3 linked regions of the Oryctolagus cuniculus genome follow. The protein of the gene in region 2 purifies or fractionates together with the protein of the main gene of each other region. This does not show direct contact. Links are inferred from orthologs where the notes say so. Each region holds a gene or a part of one and is shown on either strand. Other genes may lie near its edges.

Evidence for each region.
Region 1: the proteins of EZH1 (region 2) and RBBP7 purify together in Homo sapiens (affinity purification with mass spectrometry; 4 studies listed by BioGRID and IntAct, with this or other methods). This does not show direct contact. The link is inferred for Oryctolagus cuniculus from reciprocal best matches to the Homo sapiens genes EZH1 and RBBP7.
Region 3: the proteins of EZH1 (region 2) and JARID2 purify together in Homo sapiens (affinity purification with mass spectrometry; 4 studies listed by BioGRID and IntAct, with this or other methods). This does not show direct contact. The link is inferred for Oryctolagus cuniculus from reciprocal best matches to the Homo sapiens genes EZH1 and JARID2.

What each region holds. Positions count from the first base shown.
Region 1 is NC_091453.1:3,021,487-3,025,132, reverse strand, and holds part of RBBP7 (histone-binding protein RBBP7), read left to right. Parts: intron 1-2,405; coding exon 2,406-2,551; intron 2,552-3,646. UniProt on the Homo sapiens protein: Core histone-binding subunit that may target chromatin remodeling factors, histone acetyltransferases and histone deacetylases to their histone substrates in a manner that is regulated by nucleosomal DNA.
Region 2 is NC_091448.1:20,190,093-20,193,738, forward strand, and holds part of EZH1 (histone-lysine N-methyltransferase EZH1), read left to right. Parts: intron 1-1,323; coding exon 1,324-1,504; intron 1,505-1,745; coding exon 1,746-1,942; intron 1,943-3,115; coding exon 3,116-3,207; intron 3,208-3,646.
Region 3 is NC_091436.1:155,241,201-155,244,846, reverse strand, and holds part of JARID2 (protein Jumonji), read left to right. Parts: intron 1-421; coding exon 422-527; intron 528-1,125; coding exon 1,126-1,308; intron 1,309-1,696; coding exon 1,697-1,827; intron 1,828-2,520; coding exon 2,521-2,704; intron 2,705-3,573; coding exon 3,574-3,646.

The DNA of each region.
Region 1 (3,646 bases), on a different chromosome or scaffold from region 2:
CTAAATTTTGCTGCTTAACCCCACAACAAAACAGATCACTTTTATGGCAGCCCTAACATTGTTCTTTGTTGCCTCCTTTTCTCAAGTGTTCCTGTTTCTGTTTGAATGTTTCTTGTGAGATTTTGTGTGTGTGTGTTGCCCTTCATTTTAAGCCACTATTCCCTGCAGAAGTTTCATTTTGTCCAGGTACATTGATTAGAACCTAATTTTCTAATATTTTTGTTTTTCAGTTTATCTGAAAAAGTTAGAGTGCTGTTTCACTCCCCAGATGGACACAAAGGCCAGGCCAAAGCAGGAGCCAGGAGTTTCTTTCAGGTCTTCCACATGAGTGTGGGGGCCCAAACATTTGAGCCATTCTCTGTTTTTCCCAAGCCATTAGCAGGGTACTTGATTGGAAGTGGAGCAGCCAGGACTCGAACTGACGCCCATATGGGATGCTTGCACTGCAGGTGGTGGCTTTACCCACTACACCACTGCGCTGGCCCCATGAACCTAATGTTCTAATTGTGGTTTTGCCGATTAAAAATAAATGGGCTTGTGCCCATTGCCCCCTCAATAAGAAGACCATTTAAGATGAAATTACTTTTTTTTTTTTTTTGACGCAAGTTGCTATTGCTTAGCCATGACTGCCTTGTTTTGGTTTTGGAGTTGTATGTTTATTTTTTTTTACCAGTGAGTCAAATCTTGGTCAAGTTTCAGCTTGTACTAGGGTACTTCAGAAAGTTCAAGGAGGGGAAGAAAAAAGATCTCCAAAAAAAGGAAAGACAATGTGGGGTGTGTGTGTGTGTGTACACAAGTTCATGGAGGGGGGGCAAGCATTGTGGGGTAGAAGGTAAAGCCACTCCTGCGATGCTGGCATCCCATATGGTTGCCAGTTTGTGTCCCTGCTGTTCCACTTCAATCCAGCTCTCTGTTAATGGCCTGGGAAAAGCAGCGCAAGATGACCCACATGCTTGGGCCAATGCACCCATGTGGGAGACGTGGAAGAGGCTCTTGGCTTCAGCCTGACCCAGCTCCAGCCTTTTGCAGCTATTTGGGGAGTAAGCCAAAGGAATGGGCGATATCTCTGTCTCTCTAACTCTGCCTTTCACATAAAATAAATCTTTAAGATTTGCAAAATTTGAAATTCGCATAGATTTTTTATGTAACACATTTTCCATGAGCTTTTTGACGACCCCACATATTTCTTAAGTAAGTTGCATGCCTTGGAAGTAACCTTCAAACTTTTTTTAAGCGTTCAGTCTTGTACAAGTGAAATTTAGAAACAGATAAGTGGTCTAATTTGTCTGATGTTGGGGGCTAGAGCCTTACTTCTCAGTCCTCCATTTAAAGTTTCTTTTCTAGATGGTACAAATGGGAAAACATTGTTGATAAGAGACTGATGTAAAAATCACTGCTTGGACTATGGTGCCGAGGTACATTGGCAAGTTCTTCAGCCTAAAGGCGAGTTTTCACAGATCAAGGCAGCAAAGACTCCTCAGTAAAATTGAGAATGCAATTTCATAACCTCGAGGAGTCATAAACATAAATATGGGGTTTTGTATCAGCCATTTGCAGTTATTACCTATTTGTTAGGTGAGGAAACTTGAGGCCCCAGGGAAGTTGTGATTTAAGCCATTGGACAAAGCTAATTTTAGTTTCAGAGAGGATTTAAACTCAGTTTTTCTGACTTCACACTTTATTCTTTCCATTTTACCTGGTTGCCTCTCATAGAGAAACCAGAAACATCTAATATTAAAAATAGGACTATGGCCTGAAAATACATTTAGGTGGGAAATCATGATTTATGAGTGATGGGCAGTAGACTCCTGTGTTTGTGTTTTCTTTCTGCCTACCTTCTGAGTGCTGCTGTAGACAAGTGTTCACATTGATAATTAAAGCAGAGGAGGATGGCTCTGTAGGAAAGAAGCAAACCCTCTGCATGTTGTATTCTATTTCCTTGCATTTTTATTTTATTTATTTGAAAGGCAGAGTTGGAGAGACAGAAATCTTCGATCTGCTGGTTCACTACCCAAATGGCCCAATGGCCAGGCCAAAGCCAGGAGCTTCTTCTGGTCTCCCACATGGGTTCAGGGGCCCAGGGACCTGAGCCATCTCTGCTGCTTTCCTAGGTGCATCAGCAGGGAGCTGGATTTGAAGTGGAGCAGCCATTACTGGGATGCCAGAGTCACAGGTGGCGGCTTTTACCCTCTACACCACAACACAAGCCTGCCCTTGTATTTTTATGTGTGGGGATTGTAAAGTTAGTTACTAGAGGGGGAATAGGTACATAGAACAGCGTTATATATATCTCTACATATATTTGTTAAAGAAATTTTAATATGTTTTGAGAGAACTAGACTGGGTTTTTTAGTAACTGAAGATTTCTTGTAGGATGAGTGTGACTTATGTTCTTTCTTAAACAGACCCGAAGGAAAAGATTATGCCCTTCATTGGCTAGTCCTGGGGACTCATACATCTGATGAACAGAATCATCTGGTGGTTGCTCGAGTACATATTCCCAATGATGATGCACAGTTTGATGCTTCCCACTGTGATAGTGACAAGGGTGGTAGGTATATCATATATTCCAACATTGATGTTTAAAGAAGTGTGCCTCTTTAAAAGCATATGTTATTAAATATACTTATACTGTTAATTTTTGGTCCAGCAGCTTAACTTCTTGGACTTTATCCTACAGAACTGCTCACCCACATGTGTGCAGAGATTTCACATTATCATTATTTACAGGATTGAAAAATTAGGACCAACCCAGCAGCTCAGAATTTGGTTCATCGGAAATTGGTTGAACACATTATGGTATATTTGAAATGCTACTAAGCAATTAATGAGAATGAGAAAAATCCATATATATGTACCAGTATGAAAAGGTGTCCAAGATAATTTAACTGAGTAACTGGCATGAATAATTATAATATTCCATTTTGGTAACAGTGGCAATATGTGTTGATGTGTGCATAGAAAAAAATCAGGAGGTATGTATACCAAAGAGTTAATAGTGGGTTTATTTATGGGAAAGATGAGCAGTAGTAGAGTTAATTTAGGAAGCTTTTGAAAATTTCTTTTTTCTTATTGTCAAATACACACAGCCCCATTTTGGTATTCTCACAACCACCCTTAGTTTGGTGATTTCCATAGAAGGAGCTACAAGACTCTAGCCATTGGCAAGTTCAGGAAGGTCAGGCACAAGTCTCACTCAAGGCCACACAGGATGTGCTCTTTCTCTGGCAGCACACTGTAGTGACATGGATAGAAAACCTCTGCCCAGGGAAGCCCAAGTGAATCTTGGGGTTTGAGGCTTTCTTGGAGGACTGGTTGCACAGGCACATCTTGCTGGTAACCAGCCATGACAGCTGAAACTCAGGACCCCGGTAATGAAGCAGGCACATTATCGTCAATCTTGCTATTTGTACAGAGCAACCCTGACAAACTGGTACAGCATGGTCCATTGCTCCAGGTGTGTACCACAAAACCATCAGTCTATCAGTAGCGTAAAGAACATTGTGAGGTCCATGTTCCCAGGAGTTGGCCAAGGGTCAGTAATGGTCCCAGTGTCCTCCAGAGATAAAATGGCTAGGCAACCAGACCTGCTGAATTAACTCTTTCTTCATAGCTTCAACTGGTTTGATAACCTTAACATTTTCTG
Region 2 (3,646 bases):
CTGGCTGCTCCACTTCTTCTTTTTTTTTTTTGACAGGCAGTTAGACAGTGAGAGAGACAGAGAGAAAGGTCTTCCTTCCGTTGGTTGACCCCCCAAATGGCTGCTACAGCGCCGATCCGAAGCCAGGAGCCAGGTGCTTCCTCCTGGTCTCCCATGCGGGTGCAGGGCCCAAGTACTTGGGCCATCCTCCACTGCACTCCCGGGCCACATTAGAGAGCTGGACTGGAAGAGGGGCAACCGGGACAGAATCCGGCACCCCAACCAGGACTGGAACCCGGTGTGCCGGCGCTGCAGGCAGAGGATTAGCCTAGTGAGCCGCGGCGCTGGTCATTGCTCCACTTCTGAGCCAGCTCCCTGCTGATGCACCTGGGAAAGCAGCTGAAGATGTTCCAAGTGTTTGTGCCCCTACACCCACATGGGAGGCCTGAATGTTGGTCTGGCTCAGCCCTGGCTGTTGTGGCCACTTAGGGAATGAACCAGTGGATGGAAGACCTCTTTCTCTCTGTAACTCTTTTTTTTTTTTTTTTTTTTTTTTGACAGGCAGAGTGGACAGTGAGAGAGAGAGACAGAGAGAAAGGTCTTCCTTTTGCCGTTGGTTCACCCTCCAATAGCCGCCGCGGCCGGCGCGCTGCAGCCGGCGCACCGCGCTGATCCGATGGCAGGAGCCAGGAGCCAGGTGCTTTTCCTGGTCTCCCATGGGGTGCAGGGCCCAAGCACCTGGGCCATCCTCCACTGCACTCCCTGGCCACAGCAGAGGGCTAGCCTGGAAGAGGGGCAACCGGGACAGAATCCGGCGCCCCGACCGGGACTAGAACCCGGTGTGCCGGCGCCGCTAGGCGGAGAATTAGCCTAGTGAGCCGCGGCGCCGGCCTCTCTGTAACTCTTGACTTTCAAATAAGTAAATACAATTTTTAAAAGAAGGAAACAAATAGTGTGGTAAAATGTCAAGAGCAGTGGCCTCAGGGACGGAGCCCTGGCTTTTGGCTCCGGAACAATGTGCTGGATCCTCTCCGGCAGCGCTCTTGCCCCCTCTGAGCCTTGTCTCCACATCTGCAGGGGTGTGTGTGCTCAAATTCCACACAGCTGCAACACCAGTGAGCTTCAGATACAAGTTACTGGAAAGTCAAAGATGCATATATGTACAGATTATATCTCTTTTAGAATCATTGGGCAGCTTTTGAAGTCTGTAAATTTCAGACTGTGCTCACACTCGCTGTATGGTACGGAGCAAAACCGGAAGGCAGCAGTGTTGCACTTGTGATAGTGGGAGGTGGCTGGTGGCTTGACCCATGCTCCTGTTTCCTACCTGCCCCGTCTCCACAGGAGGGCGCAAAGGAGTACGCCATGCTCCATAACCCCCGCTCCAAGTGCTCTGGCCGGCGCCGGCGAAGGCACCACGTGGTCAGTGCTTCCTGCACCAACACGTCGGCCTCTGCTGTGGCTGAGACTAAAGAAGGAGACAGTGACAGGGACACAGGAAATGACTGGGCCTCCAGCTCTTCAGGTACAGTGACAGAAAACGAGGGCCTTTCCTCCCTGTGCGAGGACACCGGCCAAGCCGAGACCTCTCCTCACACTTAGGGTTCCCGCCTTTTTGGGCTGCTCATGCTTGCCGCGAGTTCACCTGCAGCCAGTGGGGATGGGGAATGTTTTCATTAACTGTTCTCCCATTGCGGTAGAGCGAAGTTCTGTGTGCAGCCAACCGCACACCACCTTCTTTTGTTTCTGATTTTTTTCCCTCTCAGAGGCCAACTCCCGCTGTCAGACGCCCACAAAGCAGAAGGCCAGTCCTGCCCCGCCGCAGCTCTGCGTGGTGGAGGCGCCGTCGGAGCTTGTGGAGTGGACCGGGGCTGAGGAGTCGCTCTTTCGCGTCTTCCATGGCACCTACTTCAACAACTTCTGTTCCATAGCCAGGCTTCTGGGGACCAAGACATGCAAGCAGGTACTGTCTGGCAGCTGCAGAAGCAGCGCTGGCCCCTCTTTCACCGTGGCTCTGCCCGTCGCATTGCTGTCTGGCGGGCCTGTGAGTCTGGCTCGTGCCCCTCGTCAAATGCTGGGCCTGGCAGCACTCGGGGCTCTGCCCTCCCCGCTACCACCACTGAGTACTTCTGGCTGGGCCCACGCTCTGGTTGCTTCTTCTGCTTCCTGTCTTTGCTCCTGAATGTGTGCTGCTTTCCTGGAAGCGCCTCTCGGGCCAGCTGTGGGTGCCGTAGCCAGCGCACTGCCCCGCCCTCCGTCAGCCTCCTAAGTCACGTACTGTCCAGATTCTCTACTTCTGCCCCCAGCAGCTGGGCCTAGCCTTCCCTCCGGACTCAGACCACCCCTAGAAACAGTGCGACAGCAGCCCCTGGTGCTCTGGAGACTGCCAGACTGAAGACCCGGGGCGGGGCCTGCGCACAGGGCTCCCTCCCTCCTGGCCTCCTCCTCTCGTCTCCTTCACTTGGGATAGTCGAGAGGACCGTGAGTCCCCTCTGCTTTTATCTTGGAGCTCATACCTATTTCCTTAAGGTATAGGTTCCTAACTAACCTAAAAGGCAACAGAATTGTATGCAAAAAGAAAACATATGTTTTTTCCTGAGGATGAGAACTGTAGTTTCCATAGAAATCTCAGAAGGGCCCATAGCCAGCAAGAGAAAGGAGAGGGTAAAATGAGAGCTGTGAGAAGCTCGGGGAGGGCGCTGCCCTCTGGAGCTGCTGTCATACCGAGTATCATGCTCTGACATCTTTGTACCAACAGGGGGCGCTAGAGCTTAGCCCCGTGTACCCACTCCTGTGCGCTGCCCGCAAAGTTCCCTTCCTAAAAAGAGGCAGATAGAGTTGGTGAGACTCGGCCTACCACGGCGTGGCGGGCAGGGAGCTGGCGAAAGCGCTGCCTGCACGGCGTGGCCGTGTTCGGGCGTTTCTGCTGTCCTGCGCCCGGGTCAGCTGTTAGGAATTAGCCCCAGAGCCAGGGACCTGACGTCCTGGTGGCTCTCCGTCTCTCCCTCGCTGAAATGCACGCAGGCAGTTGCCTGTGAGCTCCACACAAGCCTCCTGAGCCCAGCTCCTGGCTGGGCCGCCCGCCCGAGCACAGGGCTGGAGCACGAGTGACGGCCTTGTTGCGCTTCTCTTCCAGGTCTTTCAGTTTGCAGTGAAAGAGTCACTTATCCTGAAGCTGCCAACAGATGAGCTCATGAACCCCTCGCAGAAGAAGAAGAGAAAGCACAGGCAAGGCTTGGACAGAGGCCTTTTGTGGCCAGGCTGGGCTCTGGGCTCCGCCCTCTCCTTGGGCTTCCCTTCTGCCCCCTGTTGGGCCCCTGTATGGGGCCATGTGAGACCATCCTTTTGCCTAGGGGCAGCTTCTCGGGGCTCGGGCTTGCTGAGGCCCTGCCCCACTCCCCCAGGTGCCTCGGACTGTGAGATAACTTTCTGGTTTTCTATTGAAGCTCCTGGCCAGTGGGAAGTGGGCTGGCCCCACGGCCCCACCCTGAGACCCTTCCTCCTGGTTGGGTGGTTAGTTCCCGCCTCACCCACTTCTCAGCTCTGCCCCAAGCTTACTCCTTCTCCTTGTTTTTTGGCACTTGCATTGTGTGATAACGCTGTCTTATAGCTAGCCTCACTCAGGGTTGGAAGTTTAAAAAAAACCTGGCACCCTAATGAGTGTCAC
Region 3 (3,646 bases), on a different chromosome or scaffold from region 2:
AGGGGTAGGCGGTGCGGAACTCAGACAGGCAGAGACGCTGTGGTTCCGTGTTCCCCAGAGGCTAGCAGAGATGGCCCTCTGTCTGGTTCTCGTTTAGAGGGCTTCTCCAGCATCTGGTTTTGGTTGAAAGGCTTTGGCTCACTGTGTGGGTCAGATGTACACAAAAGATGATTCTCGTATGTTGTGGGCTGGCTGCGGTTTCGGTTTGGCCCTGTGAGCCAGGATGACCGTGGCCGTGGTGGGCAGTGACAGCTCCTAGTGCCCAGCCAGCCCTGTCCCTGCCGTATGGGACCCCTCTTGTGCTAGGCCCGGTCCACTTTGCAGACCTGGGTGCTGCCTCCCCCAGGGAGGTGGGGATGGGCCCTCCTGTGCACAGTGTCCTTAGCAAGCCTGGACTTTGCCTGTGTGTGCTACACCACAGGTATTGCATTCCTGCTGAGGAGGAGAACAAGCTGGAGGGCGTGGTCCACACCCTGCTGCAGGCCAACGGCACCCCCGGGCTGCAGATGCTGGAGAGCAACGTCATGGTACGTCTCCCCCCGCCCCACGGCTTCCCAGGGCCTTGTCCTTGGGTGCTCAGAGGCTGTGCTGCGGAGTCGCCCTTCTTGCTGAGCAGCCTTTCACGGGCTCCCATCACATCCCACGGGACCCTGGGTGGTGGACGTAGGGAGTGTGCCTGGCTGCCTGCAGGTTTGTGTGGCCCCTGGCGAGGGGCCTCGGTCAGGGCAGTGGCTCTGTGTGTGCCTGTGCTATACCAATTGAGCCACCAGCAGGAACCAGCTGCTCTGGGTCTCTCTGGCCTGTGCTGATACTGTCTGTGCCTTGGGCTTGTGACTCTGAGATCCTGGGCTGTCCGGCACCTGGAGGATGACAGCGGCCCCTCCAGCAGCCTTCTGGCTATGTAATCGGCCCCATGCCTGATTCCTGGCAGTGCTGGGTGAGGTCAGAAAGGCTCGGGGTGTGGTTCCTGGGGTGGTGGGGCCAAGAAGCCGGCTCAGCCTGTCACTTTGCGGCCAGTGTTGATTTAGAACTATTGCTGCATTAGGAATGATTTCCTGCTAGTTCTAAAGGAGAAACGAGGCCGTGGGAGGAGGGCAGGGGACTCAGCCTGGCCCTGTTCCCCAGATCTCGCCAGAGGTGCTGTGCAGAGAGGGCATCAAGGTGCACAGGACGGTGCAGCAGAGTGGCCAGTTTGTCGTCTGCTTCCCGGGCTCCTTTGTGTCCAAAGTGTGCTGTGGCTACAGCGTGTCCGAAACCGTGCACTTCGCCACCACCCAGTGGACGAGTATGGGCTTCGAGACTGCCAAGGTGAGCAGGCCCAGCTGCCGCCCCCATAGCACATCCTTGCGTGTGCGCGTCTGTCTGAAATCCTGAAGCGTCGGCTGGGAGGATTTTCTGGGCAAGTTTTCAAGGGGTCGGTTGGCACTGACTAGTGTCCTCCCCGAGCTGCTTCAGGGTGAACAAAGTAAGCGGCAGTAAACCCCTGCTTTTTCTCACGATGCAGCCTCCGCCTCACGTGGAGGCGCCGCGACACGGTGTTGATGCCTTTCTCCCTTTGAACAAGATCACTTGCTGCCCATAGCTCTTCATTCCTGCTGCTTCCGGTTTGGAAATCCAGGTCGTCGGCCTGCTCCCTCCACCAGCAGCCGCCTGGACAGCAGCGTGCTGACCTGATGTGCTGTGATTCTGCTTTTAGGAAATGAAACGTCGCCACATAGCCAAGCCCTTCTCCATGGAGAAGTTGCTCTACCAGATCGCGCAAGCAGAAGCCAAGAAGGAAAACGGCCCCACTCTCAGCACCATCTCTGCCCTCCTGGATGAGCTCAGGTAAGAGCTCCGGGCCGGGGAGTGCGGCTGCCCGGCCCTGCAGCAGCCGCTCCCTGGGGACCTGGATTCGTTCTCTCCCTCGCTCCATGCTCTGCTGCGCCCAGCTCTCCTGGTGTGAGCGGGAGGTGGGCCCTGCTGACTCTGCCGTGCCTCGCCCGAGAGGGCTGTGGCCAGGTAGTGAGGGAGAGCTGTGGCGCCAGCACTGGCCTCTGCACCCCAGCAATCGAGGATGGTGTGGCGACTGACCCACAGTGCCTGAGCGTGCATCTGCGCCATCCCACTCGGGGGGGGTGTGAGGGAGAGACACCCCAAGAGCACCAGATAGTGTGGCTTCCTGCACAGCCCGGTCCTAGCAACCGGTTGTGAGCTTTGCCATTTCTGCCCCTTCCCAGGGGTGTGGGCGGCAGGCAACAATTGGGATTCTGCCTGTGTTGGCACAGCTTTGATGGTGACACCAACACAGGTTTGTTAAATCTGTCCCGGGCTCAGAGTGGTAGAGGGGCCCTAGCCACAGCCAGGCGTGCTTCTGCCCGCGAGGCACCTCGGTGGCTCCAGCAGTCTGGATGGTTCTGACGTTGTGAGTGACTAAGGGACGTGGGCTGCAGCTGGGCTCCCACCCGCGCGTGTGCACTGTGTGGGGCAGGCCGGCCCCCTGCAGAGCTGGTGGAGTGCCGGCCTCTGTGTGGCCCGCAGGGACACGGAGCTGCGGCAGCGCAGGCAGCTGTTCGAGGCAGGCCTCCACTCCTCCGCACGCTACGGCAGCCATGACGGCAGCAGCGCGGTGGCGGACGGCAAGAAGAAGCCTCGGAAGTGGCTGCAGCTGGAGACGTCGGAGCGGCGCTGTCAGATCTGCCAGCACCTGTGCTACCTGTCCATGGTGAGCCCTCCCCGGGGTGCTGGGGCCCTTCCTGGCGTTCATCCATCTCTGGGCTCCACACTCCGCGCTCCTCACTTCCTTCCCGGGAGGTCGTGCAGGGTGGGCTAGAGTGGCCCCTATGGTCCTTTGGTCATGTGACCCTCTCACACGTGGGATTCTGTTCAGGTGAAACTTCGTGCCCTGCTCATGGTGCCAGCACCCTCTGCTCCGATGTGCGCCTTGTGACCTTGCATCCGCCCATCTTGGGCTCCATTTGCCTTGACAAACTGGTTCCTGTCCGCTCTCTTGCTGGTCAAGTCCCATCTGCCTCCTTGTGGCCCCTGCCAATCCAGATTTGGTCTCAGGAAGGTGTTCCTCCTCTCCCGTCCCCAGCCCCCAGGCCAGCGTCGGACAGATGGCACTGGTGTGGCCCCCAGCCCTCAGTGGGCAGCCGCCCTGATACGGCTCTGGGCCTTGGGGCACCCCCAGCCGGGGCTCACAGTGGCTCCCTGGCGTGGAGGGTAAGCTGTCTGTCAGTCCTTGGCCCTGTCTCGCTGTTGCTCCCAGAAGCCACAGTGACTGGAACCGTGTGGCAGGACTTTGTGCCCCTTCTGTCAGTGCTGGGCCGGGGTGGAGATCAGGCCTGCCTGCCTCCCCCCACATCTCCATCACCTCCCCTGCGGCCCTGTGCAGAGGCCCAGACAGCCACTTCCAGACGAGTCCCCTGTTGTGTGTGACACTGAGAAGAGGGATCAGTTCACTTCCCTGGTGGGGGAGCCACTTCCGGGGTGCTGGTCTCTCCCCACGTCCCGTGCTCTGGGGTCACAGAAGTCCCAAGCTCTCCCCAGCCACAGGGGTGGTGCCCATGTGACGCTGGCTGTGCTGCGCAGGTGGTCCAGGAGAACGAGAACGTCGTGTTCTGCCTGGAGTGCGCGCTGCGCCACGTGGAGAAGCAGAAGTCCT